Linked DNA regions of Coturnix japonica. The protein of the gene in region 1 interacts with the protein of each later gene in a biochemical or structural test. Links are inferred from orthologs where the notes say so. Each region holds a gene or a part of one and is shown in the gene's direction. Other genes may lie near its edges.

The links. The genes of interacting proteins can lie anywhere in the genome.
Region 2: the proteins of GABARAPL1 (region 1) and STK3 form a complex in vitro, tested with the Homo sapiens proteins (2 studies listed by BioGRID and IntAct). The link is inferred for Coturnix japonica from reciprocal best matches to the Homo sapiens genes GABARAPL1 and STK3.
Region 3: the proteins of GABARAPL1 (region 1) and TBC1D2B form a complex in vitro, tested with the Homo sapiens proteins (2 studies listed by BioGRID and IntAct). The link is inferred for Coturnix japonica from reciprocal best matches to the Homo sapiens genes GABARAPL1 and TBC1D2B.

The regions. Positions count from the first base shown.
Region 1 is NC_029516.1:70,388,762-70,396,033, reverse strand, and holds the start of GABARAPL1 (gamma-aminobutyric acid receptor-associated protein-like 1), read left to right. Parts: upstream 1-2,941; 5' UTR 2,942-3,080; coding exon 3,081-3,170; intron 3,171-6,993; coding exon 6,994-7,072; intron 7,073-7,272. UniProt on the Homo sapiens protein: Ubiquitin-like modifier that increases cell-surface expression of kappa-type opioid receptor through facilitating anterograde intracellular trafficking of the receptor. Involved in formation of autophagosomal vacuoles.
Region 2 is NC_029517.1:115,653,477-115,659,132, reverse strand, and holds part of STK3 (serine/threonine-protein kinase 3), read left to right. Parts: intron 1-3,901; coding exon 3,902-4,094; intron 4,095-5,656. UniProt on the Homo sapiens protein: Stress-activated, pro-apoptotic kinase which, following caspase-cleavage, enters the nucleus and induces chromatin condensation followed by internucleosomal DNA fragmentation.
Region 3 is NC_029525.1:3,045,531-3,051,186, forward strand, and holds part of TBC1D2B (TBC1 domain family member 2B), read left to right. Parts: intron 1-4,939; coding exon 4,940-5,093; intron 5,094-5,656. UniProt on the Homo sapiens protein: GTPase-activating protein that plays a role in the early steps of endocytosis.

The DNA.
Region 1 (7,272 bases):
CTTGCCTGGGCTGCAGTCAGTGAAGATAAATTGTCTTGGGCCGCATAGGTTGCTCCAAAAGTAACACCTCCTATTTATTTCCATAGAAATTACAGCTGATACAAAGAGCACAGTAACACTGTTTGTAATATTGGTGGGAAGGTTTCACTTCCACTGTCATACCACTAACATCCGCCTCTGATGTTATGGGTCAACATCATAGAACAGCCCTCATAAAATACGTGCTATTCTTAAGATATAAATGAAAAAAACAAAAACAAAAACACATTTTAGTTGTAAATATTTCTCTTAACATTTAAAAAGAAAAAGAACAAAGCCTTAAAACTGGTGGGATATTTGACGTTGTGCCTGTGAAACTGACACACCAGTCTGGTTCAATGGCAGTGGCTGTAATTCTTATGAACTACGTTGTGCCTGTGCCTTTTGTTCAGAGAAAGAAAAACAACCAATCCAGTTTCCAGCTCCTCTCTCCAGCACGCGGATCCTTAATGTGGGGTTTGTCACATGCCCATGGGTTGACATTTTAATAAGAACTATAAGTCAGATGTTTAGTTGTTTGTCACTGCTGCCGCATGGATCATCTTCCGGCCCACCGAGGAGCCAGAACCGCGGTTGTTTTTTAACTGAGCTGTAGGAGACGGAGCCGAACTCAGCCCCGAATGGGAGGAACGGGAAGGGGGAGGAACGACCTTGTCGGGGCGCGTCCGGGCTGAGTCAGCGGGCTGGAGTTCAGCAATGGGATTTGCGATCGTCACGTGGGATTTGTTGTGGGGAGGAGAAGTGGGTCGTGTCTTGGCATCAGAGGAGAGGAAAACACCAAGACTCTCTGATTTGTTACAGAATTTCAAGCTAGATGTTATCTCGTATACAGTTGCCTCCTCTCCTTTGTCCTTGAGGAACGCATCACTACGTCTCTACAGATGTGGGGATTTAGCAACTGCTATGTGGCAGGCAACTAGGAAGCAAAAAGGAGGCCAAATGTAGGTGTTACAGAGAAGCACTACGACATGAAGGCAGCCTTTTCGCCTGGCCTGAACAAAATCAGTGCCTCGCTTACTGAGTCACCCTTCTGAGATCCTCTGACACTACCAGCAACTATGGGGAAATGCTCCAATGTCTAATGACAGAGAGAAAGAGAGAAACAAGTCAGTGATGCTTCCTGTACTAACCTCGTGTATGTGAAATACTGAAGGCTGGGACACACTGATCCATGCCATTCCCACCGTGGGTTGCTGTACCCTTAGGAGAATCTGGCATATACTTGGAGGTCACAGCATCATGTGGAGATGTAACTACTTAAGCACTAAAACATCTGCCAGAGTTCTCTGGGAGGGGGTGGGCTGTTGGGGGATTGGAGGTAGAGTGGGGGGACACACCTGGACACATTTTAGCCCTCCAAAAATAGATGCCATTATTCAGGTGAGAAAAATCACATCCAACATGCCTGTTTATACCTTACACTATGAAGGCATTTTAAGGTGACAGGCTCTAGTACAAATACCTGATTTGTAAGTGTAGTTGAGATTTCTGTCTCATGCCCGTTTGTTTTCACTGGGCAAGATCACCTGCCAGTGTCAGACCATATCTGCTTCTAAGTGAATATACTTCCTCCATATCTCTCCTTCATGCATGATGAGAGATCACAGTCACCACGGCTTGGAGAGAGCATTACCTCTGAATTCAAGAAGCAGTGGGCTATAGAGTGTAAAGGTGGGTGGTGGGCAATATATGATAAACAGCTCTCTCCAGGGCAGAGAGCACAAACTAGCACCCTAAATCTGCTGTGGGGATTTGCAGTAGGTCCTTCCCAGTGTTGGGATAACTCCTTCCCTTCAGGCAAGACTTATGTGTATAAGCATATAGGGATAAAGAAACCATTAATGTCTGAAGTACGAATTTCTTGGAGCAGTCTAAAAGATGTGTATGAGTATTTCTAGAAAAGGACCAGGGCTTCTTCCTGATCCTGTTCTCCTGATATTATTTTTATTACTTACTATTTTGTCACGATGCCCTTACAGAGCATTGCAATGGAGCATCCATCTTTCGTCTTCCACCATAAGTGCTTCCAAGATTACATGATTCCCCATCCATTATATTTCCACAGATAGTACATACTCATCAATTATACTTGAGACAACTAACTTACACACACTTAACACAGGTAGAGATGGATGAGATTTCCAGTCTTCTATTCCATGGTCTCTTCTACTGTCTAGTGTCCTTTTAGCATCATGGCAGTCCAATTGACAGTCTTTTACTTCATCCAGTGGTCTTCCTCACTTGTCCTCTAGATGAACTTTCTTCACTGATGCATGCTCGATAACGCATATTGTAAGTAATTTATAGGTACTAAAATTGTAACATTTGCTCACTCAGCACTTGGCCATTATTTCTGGACATCTGCTCATCCTTGGATAGAGATAAGTTTGGCAACCTGTCTTTTAGTGATATATACCGGGGTGTTAACTTCTTTTTAATAATATATACTGGGTTGTAGAAGGATAGAGGGGAAATCCTTGACACCTAGAGAAGGAGACAATTTGGCCTCATGTGGAGGTCTCAGCTTTCATTATTGCGTTTCTTTTGCTGAGGGTCTCTTGTCAAAACAGAACAGCTTTACAACACGTTTTCCAGTCCGTAATACTACACGCACACTATATCAATCACAACCACGTACAGAAGAGACTCATTGGACGGGGACACCTCTGACGGTGGTGCGTGGGTAACCCCTGAGTCACGCACATTATTTTGGTGGCTGTGTTTTTGTGGATTTTTTGATCTTTCTTTTAGAATTGTTACCATTAGGTAACCCGAAAAGCACAGTAACCGAATGTAAACACAAAGACCCAGCACATCCCCCCCCCACACACACACACACGAGACAGTGCCCCCACCCCGCTGCAATGCCGACAGTGCCGGAAGGGGAGGGTATGTCGCTGTGACGTCCCGCAACAGCACAGTGCGGGGCTGCGCTGCGCTGCGCTGGGTTTGCGTGCGCTGCGCGGGCGTAGTAGGGTTTGCTGAGTGCCCGGTCATAGGTGACGGAGGGACGGTAGTGGCCGGCTCGGTTGTGTCGCATCATGAAGTTCCAGTACAAGGAAGACCACCCGTTCGAGTACAGGAAAAAAGAAGGGGAGAAAATCAGGAAGAAATACCCCGACAGAGTCCCTGTGAGTGTGCTGGACGAGCGCTGCCCTCGGGCTGGCTGTGCAAATGTCGCCATTCTTTGCTGTCCTTGTCGTTGCCGTCTGCTGCTTTGCTTCTTTTGCAAGGAACGGGATTGGGAAAGATGACTTTGGCGTGTCGGTATTAATTCCGGATTGCTTTCTCTTTAGTGCCACCGTATTTGTTGTTCTACGCCAAGGTCCGTGGGTGGGTGTGGGGGTCTTTTTCGGGCATCCGCAGTAATTCGACAGCAAGAACGCTGTTAATCTTATTATGGCAGCCTATGCGTGTGGGGCTGGAGGGTGGGGAAGGAGCTTACGACTTGCTCTGGGAAAATGGAGGAGAACAATGAATGTGTGAAACAGGCGTTCTCTGTAAGGAAAAAAAAAAAGGCCTAAATCGCTGTTATCAGATGTTTTGTTTTTATTTTATACCTTTTTCTTTTTGGAGCTTGCTTTTCAGTGTAGTCCAGCTCCGTTCTTTTCAGCTTTGTGTTTTGCATGAGAGTTAAAAAGAGATGGATGCTCAATAATAATTCCCAGTCTTACTTCCCTACTCTTTAATCACCCAAAAAGCATCATTTGGAAAACAAGATCATTTTCGAGCTGAACTTTCCTTTCTTGTCCTTAGGACTGTCTGGAATCTCAGTGGAAAACTCCTGGCTTTATAATTTGTGGCAATAATTGCAAAAAGAAATAGTAACACTAGGGTTTATTTTGTTTGTTTTGTAACACTGGAGAGTTCTGTCCTAGATTGGGGTGACCAGAGGTGCAGTGTGCAAAAGAACTGTTTCACCTGAGCTTTTCCCTGTAGGATGAGAGTAATTGAGCATGCAGTGTATGCAGGTCTGTCTTTTGAGATGACGGCCACAGCAGGCTCAGCTGGTCAGGAGAGTGGCAGGTAATGCAGCAGGTCATGATAGAAGTGACTGGAAGAACTATGTGGAGAGCCCAGCAACAGACCTGGTCTGGCAAGGAGTAAAAATGCCAAGACAGAGGGGCTTTAGTAGAGTGTAATGGACAAAAACAGGATCAAACTAAGTGAGCTGTGCTGCAGCTAAGGGGAAGTGAAAACACTGCTTGGAGAGGCCTGGTGTGGATTGCTGGGGAAGGCTTGTTGTCAGAGCTGCACAGAGTGCAACAGACGTATTTAATCACTTCTGTCACTGCCCTTCACGACAGTAGGATCCTTGACAGCAATGTCCCATTGGCTGCTGGCACTTCACTGTTGTGATATGTCTGCATTTTGCTGAAATTATAATGCTGGCCCAGTCCATTGTTACCACAGTCACCCAGCAGCAACAGACATCAAGATAATATATCTGCCCTTTGGATTGTCTTTGTAAGTTTGTCTCTCTGTGCAAAGTAACCTTTAGAAGAGATACCTTGCCTGGGTTATCAGGGAAACTTACTACAGTTGATTATCTAGGAAAACACCTCCATTTTTCCCTCTTTGCAAGAGGGAGATCTGTCTCAAACTTGATTATTTAATTTGAATCCTTTCTAGGGGTTTAGAATCCTCAGAGCTCACCTTGTCCTCATAAATCAAGGTACCCCCTATCTTCTTTTCCTTTATCTAATGACTAAGCTACATGCCATCCTTTTGAGTCAGCTTGGTCCTGTCACTGTTGCTACCTGACAGTTCTGCTTACCAATCTTCTAAATTGAAAGCAAAAACTAAAGGCTTTTTTTCTACTTCAGTTTATTTGATGCTACCATGTAGCGTTTCAGGGTAAGAAAATAGGCAAAGTACTGTTGCTGGTCAGTCTGAAGCTGTGTAGTGAGGTTGTGCAACTACCTTTCCTTCACAACACTTGTCAATTTTATCTTGTATGGAAATGTATGTCCTAACACAAACTTAGTGTGAAAGAGCTCAGTTGCCTAGTAGTTGAGGTTCTTGAACTAGCAAACTACGTTTGTGTTTTAGGAAGAAACCTAGAATTTTCAGGGCTTTTGGCTGCATTGGAGGCATCTAAATGGAGAAGAGTATACAGGTATCCAAGCCAGCATCTCTACTGTGTGACATGCTTTGTGGATACTTGAATCTGGAACGAGGAGTGTTTGGTTGGAAAAAGTGCCATGCCAAGTTAATACACAAAGCTTATCATGTCTTTTTCCTTTGGTGTACTGTTTCATTGATGTGACAACACCATTTTCCTTCCAAAGAAGGAAGGAAACACGAAGCACAACAGTCCAGCCTTTACTATTGCACAGCTGACACAGCTGCTGATTTTGGCTTCCCAGGGAGGTGGTTGAATCGCCATCCCTGGATGTGTTTAAGAGCCGTTTGGATGTGGTACTCAGGGATATGATTTAGCAGAGGGTTGTTAGAGTTAGGGTACTATGGTTAGGCTGCGGTTGGATGTGATGATCTTCAGGGTCTTTTCCAACCTGAGCAATTCTATGATTCTTAGAAATTAGTCTCACAGTGTCTCAGGGAAGGTCAAAATGGTTTCTGAAGAACAGTAAGCCACATAGATTGAATCATGTAATATATCTCTCTACTTGATCAAAAATACATACCAGGAAAAAAAACAAACCTACCAGTGGCTGCATTTTCTTTCCACATGCACACAGTATTTCCATGGAAACGTGTCACCAAGCTTTGGAAAGGTTTCCAAGCCTTTTCATATTCATGTCACTTGGGAATAGTTCCTATTTCAGAGATAGGAATTTTGCCTGGCTCTGGTAACAAAAAGAAATTGTGTGTAGCAGAAGATCTCTTTGACCTTAAAGCTACTGAACTTATGCTTTTCTATGTCATATAATGACTGTTGTAGCAGATCCAGAGGAGGGCCATATGATCAGAGGGCCTGAACACCTCTCTTGTGAGGACAGGATGAGAGATATGGGTCGCTTCAGCCTGGAGAAGAAAAGGCTCTTGGGGGACCTTTACAGTGGCCTACCAGTACCTGAAGGGGGCCTATGGGAAAGCTGGGGAGGGGCATTTTATAAGGATGTTGAACAACAGGATGAGGGAGGCTGGTTTTAAATTGAATAGGATAGATTTAAACTAGATGTTAGGAAGAAAATCTTTACTGTGAGGGTGGTGAGACACTGGAACAGGTCATTCTGCCCAGAGAGGTTGTGGATGCCCCCTCCCCGGAGGCTTTTAGGGCCAGGCTAGATGGAGCTTTGAGCAACCTGGTCTAGTAGGAGATGTTCCTGCCTATAGCAGGGAGGTTGGAACTAGGTTATCTTAAAGATCCCTTCCAACCCAAGCCATTCTGTGAAATAACCTTAAGGGATATGAATTTCAGAGTAGAAGATAACTACTGAAGAACTGTGAATTTGAAGAAAATAACCTTCTTCAGTAAGCTGTAACTTCTCCTTTAATTCTTTGCTTCATTCTAGATCACTGTGAGCGAATGTAAAAATTAGGATGTGGGACTACTGGGACTGGAGCTGATTTTGTGTCAGGCAGTTTGGAACTGTAACTTGGAAACAGCTCAATTGACTTGTGTTTGTGTAGTAGCCTCCTGGTAGCTCCTTCATACAAAATTAACCTGCCTTAAGACTATCAAGGTGACCTGATTTATTTTTTTTTCCCCTTGGCAATTACAGTTTATTTTTATGCTTATTCCAGTTTCCATTTTTAACTCATTGTGCTTACTGTTAAAGTCTTGAGCTCCCAGCACAGATATTGCCAGTGATTTGCTGTCTTCTGACCCATCTATTCTTTACTATTGTGTATTTCTTAGGGATTAAAGACATTTCTAAAGGCCTGGTAGCACCAGCTTTCTTAAAGGGTATTGTCTTCTTCAACTTCTGTTTCTTTTGTTCATTTCCTTTAATGATGCCCATAGCCTTTCTCTTTCTACCTCATCAGGTAATTGTGGAAAAAGCACCAAAAGCCAGAGTACCTGATCTAGACAAAAGGAAGTACCTTGTGCCTTCTGACCTCACAGGTAACAAAGTCTGCCTCCGTTCTTCTTGATTTTCATTAAGATGGACTTATTAAGTCACTTTTGTTCATCTGATCGTCACCAAAAATGAAAAATCCAGGCAGGCTCAACATCTTATCACTACCCCGGTTTGCCTGGCTGTACTTATTGTATCTGTCTGTCTCACAGTCAGGATTACAACATGCAGAATTCTTTGAGATCGT
Region 2 (5,656 bases), on another chromosome or scaffold:
AATCATAGTGTTGTTTTAGACAAGATGACCTTTAATGGTCCCTTTCCACTCCCCTGCAGTGGACAGTGGCACCTATAGCTTGATCAGGTTGATTGGAGTCCCATCAAGCCTGACCTTTCGTGTCTCCAGGGATAGGGCATCCATCGCCTCTCTGGGCAACCTGTTTTGGTGCTTCAGTACCGTTATAATAAAAAACTTTTTCCTTATATGCAATCTAAGTCTCTCCTCTTTTAGTTTGAAATCAAGTTCTAACTTTGGGATATAATGTTGCTCAGCTGCGGCTGACTAAAATTCCTTTAGCATTTCAGGAGATGTTAGCCCTCTTACTCACATGTATCAGAAACCTCTAGGAAATACAAATGATACTAGTTGCGCACAAGGGAATGGCAGATAGTTTAAAGTCATAGTTAGCTGTTCTTTCTTGATTCTTGGATCTCTTTTCATAAACAGTATGAGAACATGATGCTTCAGCTTTAATACTTTATATTCTTTGGTAATTAAAATGAATATTGTATTTGTTTTTATTTAATCAAGGAGTTTACCTTTTTAATAACAAATCAGAAATTCAACATCAATATTTATGAACTGTAAAGTATGAATCATAATTTGTTCTAAGGAATCACTTTCATCTGTCATATAAACACACACTTACATAACTTTATAGGAGTATTCTGTTACTTTTTCAGGTCCAGTATGATCTGCTGTAGTATTAGCTAAATTTCATACTTGTGAGCAATACTGGAAGAATAATTCTGGAAGCAACCTGGTTTAATCTACAACATTGATTATTTTGAAATGTACACAGGCTCTGAAGAAATTTATATTGCTCTCCTTCAGTATCTCATTTCTAATTTAGAGAAAACAAGATCAGAATTTTTGTATGTATCCCTTTTGGGCACAATTCTGTTGGTACTGAGGCTGGCTTTTGTCATCCTCAGTCTTCCAGGTACTGGGTGACAGCTGTTCTCTATGCTGAAAGATAATAGTAAAACAAAGACATTTGTCACTCTAGGTTGGAAAATGAAATATTATTCCTTGAAAGAATCCAGATGCTCGATTTGGCTCAGGAACTTAAAAAATCAGCATTTTTAATAAACCAGAAGATCTTAAAATGGGCACTTATTAATTCACTTTTTACTTGTTCATATTGGTGGTCACCACCTTCTTTTTTTTTCTTTCTCCCCACTTGTAAAAAAAAATATAGAGAGAATTTAAGCTTCAGGAAAATGTATTTCCTTTCTGCTTTCAACTTTTCTGTGTGGATATTAGTCAAGCAAACATGTACATCAGCTGTTAACTCTGTTTTAATCTCAACTGCTTCTCTGTATTGGAGATGCTTCATTTTTATTGTTTATTAAGATAAAAAGCAGTATGTTCTCACTTGGTTTTCCATTGTACAGCATTACTGAAAGAAACACTTATCAATAAATACTTTAGACAATTCTCAAATACAATGCAAAAAAAAGAGAGAGAGAGAATATTAGAGGAAAATACTTTGGCTTCCTAATAACCATTTGGGAAGGGAAAAATATAGAAAGCAGTGAGATAAGTGTGAACTGGGGGGGAAAAAAAAAAAGAAAAAAAAGAGGAAAATCAAAGTTGCCACCAGGAGGAGCACTACTAAAATATTCCTATTTATTTACAGACACAGTCATCTGGTGCTGTATCTGTAAACTGTCCGTCTTTAGGAGTATCTTGAGTTTTTAAGGGTATGGTGCTACACAGAGTGTTTTAGTGTGCAGGTTAGAAATGAAATTTAAGAACTCTGAAATATTTACAAATTATAATGTGGGAAGCTATGATTCTTTTGGTATTTGACAGTTTATTCAAATCTGCTCTGTATCCTGGTTTCAGCGTACTGTGTTGTTAGCTAGATTCTGAATCCAAGTGAGATCTGTTTTTGTGTCTCTGGGCCAAGACATAACAGAACTTGTTGTAGGAGCTGGTCTATTGGTACTCTTACTAAATATGGTTCTCCATACCTACTTTGACTACCCATTTGTGAAACAGGCACTCATACAGTGTAGCTGCTCCTTGCAATTCCATTTGTACAACAGGCAAGTTGTGTGCCATGTCAGGGAATAACAGGAAGGGAAAAGAGCTAGTTCAGTGAGAAATAAAAAGGGCCAGAGCTGGAGAATTGGGTAACTGGGTTTCTTTCTTTCTGCACTCCTTACAGGTTGTTCTGTAGTTAAAATATGAAGCATATTTAGCAAAAGGAAAAATTAGTTTTCGGGTAAAATCTTGTTTTAATGTTCTGTGTAACAACAGGCATGTTACTTGTAATAGGCACATAATAATGTTACCTGATATTTTTATGATATGAGCATACTTTCCTAACCAGAGATATTTTGTATCAGGATGCAATTGAAGTTCATTTACAGTAGAGAGAATGTGTACATACATGACTGTTTTCAGTTGGATTGGGAAGCTTATAAAATCAGTGAACATAGTATTTACATGTAAAATTTCGAAATTTGGCATACAGTGTCTTGACAGCGGTGGGCATTATTTCTTGTTTAGTCAATGAGAGAAGCATTAAAAATGTACTCATGTAGAAAATGCTTGTATGCATTCATGAAGTGCTGTGCTGTTGTGCACATGGTTGAAATCAAACTGCAAAAATGAATGGCATTTCCCAACACTATTTTCAAATATTGATATTCCATATAAAATTAATAATTCATTAACTGGATGGTCATTATTTCTCTGTTTTACATTCCTGGCACATCGATTCAAAATCATAGAATCGCAGAATGGGTTAGAATGGACCCTTAAGATCATGTAGTTCCAACACCCTGTTATAGGCAGGGACACCTCCCTCTAGACCAGGTTGCTCACAGCCCCATCCAGCCTGGCCCTGAATGCTTCCAGAGAGTGGGCACTCACCACCTCACTGAGCAACCTGTTCCAGAGTCTCACCACCCTCACAGTAAAGAATTTCTTCTTAATATCTAGTCAAACTCTACCCTCATCCTGTTTAAAACCATTTCTCCTTGTCTTGTCTCTACATAGCCTTCTAATAGGTCCCTCCCCAGCTTTCCTGTAGGCCCCCTTCAAGTGCTGGAAGGCCACTATAATGTCCCTCCAGAGCCTTCTCTTCTCCAGGCTGAAGAGCCCCAGCTCTCTCAGCCTGTCTCCCTAGGCAAGGTGCTCCAGGCCTCTGATCATCTTCATGGCCCTCCTCTGCACCTGCTCCAACAGCTCCATGTTCCTCTCATGTTGGGTGCCCCAGAACTGGATGCAGTACTCCAAGTGGAGTCTCACAAGAGCAGAGCAGGGGGGCAGAATCACCTCTGTTGACCTGCTGGTCACCCTTCTCTTGATGCAACCCAGGATATGGTTGGCCTTCTGGGCTGCAAGCACACACTGACAGCTCATGTTAAATCTTCCATCAGCCATCACTGCCAGATCCATCTCCTTGGGATTGCTCCTATATTTGTGCTTGGGATTGCTCCTCTTCATGGTGGTCTCTCAAGACAGGTTGTTGTCAAGATACTAGATAAAAAACATATTATTTAGTTAAGGGTGATAGCCTTGGTGTGATGATCTGCTTCAAAACAACCAAACAAAACATGTTACTGATTTTTAGTCCCGGAGAAGTGTACCGAGTCCAGAAGATCAGTGAGATATTCAAAGCTGGGTATAAAAGTGATTGTGTGGGACATGTTTCTGGTAAATCAATAGCGCTATAAAGCTGGCATAGGATGAAGTTTTTTCTTTTACCGTTATAGGTTGCCTTTTATTTTCACATTCTTTTGGTAGTATTAAACCTGTTAGTCTAGCAGTATAGCTAGGTCATGTGAAGAGATTAAAAAACAATGAATAAGCATCTAAATTATTGCATCTTAACTTGGTTTTCTGAAATGCTCTGCTGCATTCTGACCAGTGTTTCTTTTAGGATGAAGATGAGCTGGACTCGCACACCATGGTGAAGACCAATTCAGAGAGTGCTAGTACCATGCGGGCCACAAGCACGATGAGTGAAGGCGCTCAGACAATGATTGAACACAACAGTACCATGCTAGAGTCAGACCTGGGGACCATGGTAATAAATAGCGACGATGACGAAGAGGAAGATGGAACCATGAAAAGTATGTTTTTTGTTTACTTTCCTTTTCTGTTAATAATGCATTGTGTTTTCTCATCTTCTGTGAGAATAGTCTACCATCAGTGTCCTTTAAAAGTCAAGTTCGGTGGTTAAAAGTCAGGGAGAGGGCTGTTTGTTTCTATAAACACACTTTGTTCCTTATTGGAGAAGAGCAGCTATAGTGGGAGATTCAAAGTACTACACTTGGCTTTAGTATTTTGATGAGTCTTTCTGGAGGACTCAAACAGTAGCCTCCTGTGAATTCTCCCTTCTACTACCTGTCACTTGCATTTTGCCTCCTGTCCTGCATCCATTTGAAGCAGCTCCAAGGAGCTATACTCAAATGGTGCGGTTGTGTGGGGAGGTGTTGTTTCAGTGTTAGTGTTCCTGAAAACTCATTGCAACGCACCGTGGATTCAGCAGTAAGTACTGCAGATCTTGCTGCAAAATTATTTTGTAAATTCATGGGCATTTGTTAAAATTTAATTTGCTAATGCATGATTTAAGGGAATGGCCAAAACATATTGAAATAAATTAAGAAGTCAAAATCAACTTCAGTGGTGTGAAAGATTATATAACAAAGGGGGGGGGAAAAGGATTTCAAATGATGAACTTGTCAGTTGGACTGAGATGTGTATAACGTGTTTGTTAGACAGCAAACATACGTGTTTACATTTGATCTGTTTGTTACTTGGCTGAAGACTTCCCACTGATTTTAAGTTAAATCATTAATTTGAAAGGGCAGCATCTATAGGTGATGCTGTAGCTTTAGTGCTTGATTCTATGAGGCACAATTCAATGCTTAACTCCAGGCAACTGTTTAAATAAATTCGTTTTATGATTTATATCAAACAAGATTGCATTTCTGTTTGTGTGCAAAAACCTGCTATAATTTGGTTGAAAAGATTGTTTGGAAGTGTAAATCAGGTGCGTTTTCCTTGTTGTTGAATGTACAGCAAATTGGGAGGAGAGGAAGATGTGATCACTTCTGCTTTTTTTCCCTCTTTGTTATTTTGTTGTTGTTGTTGCCTTGTTTTTTCCTTCAGTGTTTGTAGCAATAAAGCAATCGACTTGTTGATTAGTGTTTAATTTGAGCAGGGTGATTCACCTCATGCAAACAGTGCGCGCTTTAATTTGTTCTTATGCTGACACAGTATTTTACCTATTAAACTGTGAGGGTAATGGAGGGGTAGATCAAGTGATCTTAGACTAACACATTTCAGCAAGTTAAGGAAGTGAGTAGTGATGGTGAATATTTGGAAAGATTATAAGCAAATAAAATAATTCCCATGATGGGATTATTGTGGACCAGGGGACTTGTGTGGTTTCTGTGCAGCCTTTCAAATCACTTAAGTTTTGGTAACTATCCATGCCATTTTCTATGTGCTGAGGGGGAATAGTACGTTAGTATGCCAAACCAATTAAAGAAAAAATGCCCTTACATTTGCACTGCAATCTCTTATCCTTTTAGTTTCTTACATTGCTGAAAACTTAAAAAAAACAAAACAAAAACATGTTCATATTTTCAAATTGAATCACTTTTGGTAGTGATTCCTATTAAGAAGG
Region 3 (5,656 bases), on another chromosome or scaffold:
CTGAGGAGTAAATAAGTTATCCAGCTGGAAAACTAATGTGGTGATCATCAGAAGTATACCTGGTAAAGCCGAGCGATGCACTCAGCAGTTCTGCATGTAATCACTCGTAAAAACAGCTTGGTTTTTTGTCCTATAGCCATAATCAAAGTGTTTATTCCTTTTATGTGAGCCCACACATCACTCTGAGCGTTCGTCTTGCAGAAGTTAAAGCAGCAGACTTGGTGTAGGGGTTGGTTGGTTTGTTCTTTAGCTGCTATTGTGTGATTGCTGTTATTTGTTTTGCTATGGAAATCTCCAAGAAGGCACATAGTGCCATGAGTAACCCGTGTGCAGCAGTGCTGCAGCAGCAGCCCCAGGCACAGGGCTCACATTGGCCTCAGCTGTTGTGCACAAGTGTAAGCAACAGGAGGTTTCCTTTTTAATGTTGTTCTTGTGGTACCTTTTAGTCTGGGACATTATTCTGCCCTTCCTTTCCTTGATGGTTTCTTGCTGTACTCTTTGGGAAAGAACTGCTGTGAGTTGAAGCTCTCTGCATTTCCCTTATGGAGACTGAGAAAAGCCAAGGTCAGTTATGTAACATGCAGAAGTAATTTTGCCTCTTCTACCCCTTATATTGTTTCAACACTTGCCTTGAAGGAGCCAAGTGGTTGCCTTTAAAAATGGTATCACATCATAAGTACTTACATAATAAATAAGGAACAAGGATAAAATGTGAGAGATGTTAGGGACCAACTGGCCTTCAGCAGCTGTGTGGTTCACCAGGGGTGAATCCAAAGCCTTAGCTTTGGGGGCTGGAAGTAATTTTCTTCTACCCAGCATGGTAGATCTTGAGGGCCTGTAAAAATACACCGTAGCTAAGTTGGCTAGAAATAGGAATGAATTTGGGATAGGAAAAACAAACCACCGTCTGATCCAGTCCCTGTTGAAAACAAATGTGGTTTCGTTTATGAAGAAAACATTGCGCACAGAGCACGAGGGAGAAAATCAAATGAAATGTTGCCTTCGCCCTCTAACTCACATGCCTTATTTTCCTCAATTTGCTGCTTGTTCAGAATTTCCAGATCTCATGATCTGCTCTTTCTCATTCAGTGTCTTCTCAGCTGAGAAGAGCAGTAAGAAATAAGCAACTAGAATTCCAGATTGCAGTGATGGTGCTGTTCAGGAATGCATTATTTCTTCATAATGCCTCATTTTTTTGTTAATGCAGTGATTTCATCATCTGGATTGCTCAGTCTTTGTGATTTAGTGGGAACTGAGGACAGTGTGATATGCTTGTGGTTTGTTCCTCAGTTTGATAGCAGTCTGACAAAAAAGCAATCTTGTTCTGTAGCCTGATTGAAGCAAGTTTTGTTCCTAAACTCATTTGTAAAGTAGTGTCTGTTGTGGCCAGTGATGTTGTTCACTTGCTCCTGAAGCAATGAAACACTAATGTGGGGTGATGCTCTGTATCTGCTCACATGGTTGAGTTCTGTGGGGAGAGGGGTGAGTTGGAGGCAACGACACAGACTAATTAAGGAGATAAACCAGCAACCTTCTGGAGATTTAGTGGCCAAGTAGTTGATATTCCATGCAGTGCATTTTGGAGCCCAAGTCCTTGAAAGGATCAGACACCAAATTCATCAAAACTAGAGCGAGGTGGGAGCTTCTGCTCCAGTTCGTCAGTGATCTTTGAGGCAGTGATTAATAACAGAGCGCTCGTGCACCGTTTGTGATGTTAGGAGCTATAGTAGCCTGTTGTAGGCTGTTTGTGTTATGTATGCCCTGGAAGAAGGCAGGTCCTGCAGCATCCTTCATGCAATGTGGAGCAGAGGGTTTTAAGTAAATGATAACTATTTTCCATCATTTCTGTTGAAAAACAGCCAGAACTGTGTCTCTCTTTAGTTACCTTCCCTTCTGCTGCTGCTACCTGTAAGTTGGCAATAGCAGTTCCTTGTCAGGCCCCAGTTCAGATGACAGTTCCAGTTCAGATGACAATCTTGTAAGTCTGAGGCCTCGTACATCTCTAAGATGTGAACTCTCTTTACGTTGTTTCAGGACCTGTTCTGTTGTGAGGGTATCGCCCTGTCAAAACTAATGGGTGTCATCTTGCAGATACGGATGTGTTATGTTGTACAGAGGTGACATTTACTGCATCCTTCCTTATATTCTGTTTATGGTGGTTTTCTTCCTGCAAAAGATGCCTCCCTTGAAATGTCACTGCCTGCTGTGGCTCTGTCTCATTGAAGAGCCACACAGTAGTTGAGTACAACTGGAGGTTCCTTGCCAGGGCTGGTCGGTGTGGCTCTTGGTTGCATGTTCTGTCTCAGATGGTGACCAGCAGCCAAATGCTGAGAGAAGCCATGAAAATGAGGCAGGCGTGGGAGAGTTCCCTTCTCTGACAGGTGAAATGGCTGTGTTTAATTGTTTATGGAATGGCTGTGTTTAAGTGTTTGCAGGTTTCCCTGTTGTTTGTTTAGGAGGAGGGGAAGAAGGAAACTTGCCTTCCATTTGATGTTTGGAAAGAAAAATATCTTGTCAATTTCAAACAATATGATCTTTAAAGACAATTTTATTGAAACAGGAGGCCATCTTAACAGGAGGATTCTCTTATAATTCTTTAACTTGTAAAGTAAATAATTAAGATATCTGCATAAAACTCAGCCAAAAGTGTTCAAAGGAAGCAGAAATCTCCATAACAAAGAAAAGGAAGGCCGTGTATTTGGAGGAAGGAAGGTCAAGCAACAAGTGGGCTGCAGCAGCAGCAGGGTGACAGAGCCCTGGAGAAGATGACTTAAAACAGGGAGGGTGAGACTCAGGGTGCACTGTGGTCCTGTTTTACACTGCAGGACTGTGCCTGCTGAGCCCCGTGTGTCAGTGCCATCGCTTAATAGGGTTTGTATTTGCTGTCTAACAGAGAACAGGTGTAAATGGGAATTGGAAAGCAACAGCAAGCCGCAGCTCCAAGGAAATGAATTTGGTTTTACTAAGCAGCATTAGCAAGTGGGTAATGGCACGGGATGTTAGCGGGACTCATTAGGTTGAACTAGTCATGGTCAGGAGTTAATTGTAGGTATACATTGTGTTGCCTCATTAGCGATGTTGTGGTAGCGGAGAGAACCACCTACGTGTTGCATCCTGTGTTAGTGGAAGCTCTTTGAGGACTCAGTGGTTTGCTTGAGCTCGAGCACGGTAAAGTGGGCAAGGCCTGTGTGCAATTCTAAAGGAAGTATAGGTTCTCAGCTGTACTGGAAATTGACACTTGCTGCTGGGCAAACCTCCAGAGGAAATCCTTTGGTGCTGGAGGTGGAAGGGAAGCACGTATGCTTTGCAGAGTGCAGCTGGGTGTGTGGGTTGTGTAGGTCCTACTGTGCCGGTCACTCCAGAAGTGCCCATGACGTCTGTGTGTGTTGGCTGAGCAGTGTTCTGATTCTCTGACACGTCCTGGCAGGCCTCACAGACACATTTAAACTGTTTTTTTCCCCTCTCTTCTTTAAGGCAAATACTTTTTCCCCCTGGGTGCCTGTGAGCAGGGAAGACTAAATAGACTGCAGTTCCGTCCTGGAGCAGGTGTGTGTTGCTTACACCTATATCATACCAACTGAGGGAGGTGAACCTGCAGTGTCCTCTTGTGTCACTGGTTTATTTCACTGCTTGGTTTGTGATATTTGTGCTTACTTGCTCAGATTCCCGTATTTTGTGCTGTGTTGTGCCTTTGATCTGCTGAGAAGATCTGCAGCATCAGCTCCAGGAATTACTATCTTGATTTTCTAACCAGCACTTAAGGTATTTCTGTGCAGAGGAAATGGCACCTTCACTCTTTTGCAGCTCTGCCCTACGTAGGCGTCCTTTTCAGTTGTATTGAACAGAATAGGAAGCTTCTAGAAATGAAGTTTGTCTGAAGCTCAAACAGCCATTTGCCCAGGCAGTGGTTTTTTTTATTAGTAATGCTACCAGGCCCTTGGGGAGCAGTTAGGAGAAAGACCAGCTGAAAGCTAAGCCCTGTGTGTGCTTAGGGCCATAGGATCACCAAGGTTAGAAAAGACCTCCAAGACCATCCAGTCCTACCATCTGCCTACCACTAGTGTTTTCCTGCTATACTGTGTCCCTTACAGGCTGAGGACTCAGGTGAGTGTCTGTTCACAGTGTTAACTTTGTACTCCTCAACATGCCATATTACCACTGTGGAGTGTTTGTTCTAGATTGGATGTTGAGTGTATATTTTGTAACAAAAATAACTCTTGAAGGAGGCACCTGCAGTGCCATTTGCCATCATTGAGTCTCTTACTGGTATCTGTAGGCCATGATTTGACACATTTTGACATGACTCCTGCAGATGTGATTCAGGCTGAAGCTTAAAGATGTTTGGTCATTATGGTGAATGTAGGCTTGTAGATTAAATGTTTGTATGTATTATTAATACACCCTCCCTATAGAAGGTGATGATGGTACCATCAACTAACGCAGTGAGTAGGTTTAGTTACAAAAGTAGGTGGCATCACAGCACCTTCTTATGTTGTTGCTTTCTGCTGGTTGCAAAGAAAACGAAGTAAGGAGAACAGGAATTTTTCTGTGCATGGGGCTTTTTCTGTGATGTGGAATTGTAGTTGTGTCTGAAAGTGCTTTGTATGTGAAATGTAGCACTCTGCTGTGTTACCAACAGTGCTTTGTATATGAGATGTAGCACTCTGCTGTGTTCGCTAATGCTTGAGTCTGATACTAGAGGAAAAAAAACCTGCTTGCAACTACTATGGGAAGGTGGATTTGGTATGGAAGTCAGGGTACGTGCACAGCGTGTGTTGAGTCCATTAGTGGGTATTTCCTTTAGATCATCCTTGATTGGGATAATCATAATTTGCAGACCAGCTAAGAGATGTTTCTTTCTGTATTGTGCTTGGAATTAGCAGATTCAGAGATCAGAGATGGACTGATCTCATTACTGCTCTGCTTCTCTGTGCTGCAGGCTGCAACCCGTCAGGATATGACCTACTGGCTTCAGGAACTTCAGCAGAAGAGGTGGGAATATTGTAACAACCTTGATGCAGCCAAAAGGGACAGTCGGACGTCTCCTACACCGAGTGACTTTTCCAAAGGTCTTGTTGCCAAAGACAGTCCCGGTAGGTGGGAAATCTGAGTGAAAATGATGTGTGTTTCAGTTTGATATCTGTTAATGGGTAATAAACAGTGTGGAGGAAAGGTGGAGGGGTAGTGTCAGGAAGTTCTTTGTTGTATCTTGTTCTTAAGTAACTATTTAACCTTTGCATGTGTTGGTGCTGCTGAAGTTACTTGGCATAAGTGTAATTTGATGTATGATTTTCTCTCTCTTTTGAAACCCCTTGATTTCTTTAAAAATAGATTTTACAGTGGTGTCAAACACAAAAAATGTAGCAGTGTGCTGTATGAATTGTTCTGTGCTTTGTCTTCACTGCTGTGACATTTCTGAATAGTCTGATTCCTGGATTGTTACACAAATGGCTTGTTTATCTGTTACCAATAAATAAGACTGCATTAAGAAATCCTGTTCTTTGCCAAGTTAAGCATATTAGTTAAGCTCCTTGAGGTTTAGATTCTGATTTGAGGTCAGACATACTTCTTCAACAAAGGTTGTGTTTTATTAATTTCAGTTTGCTCAAATAGTCAAAAGAAGGTTAAGATGCCTTTGTCCCCTCCCTTCTGCGCT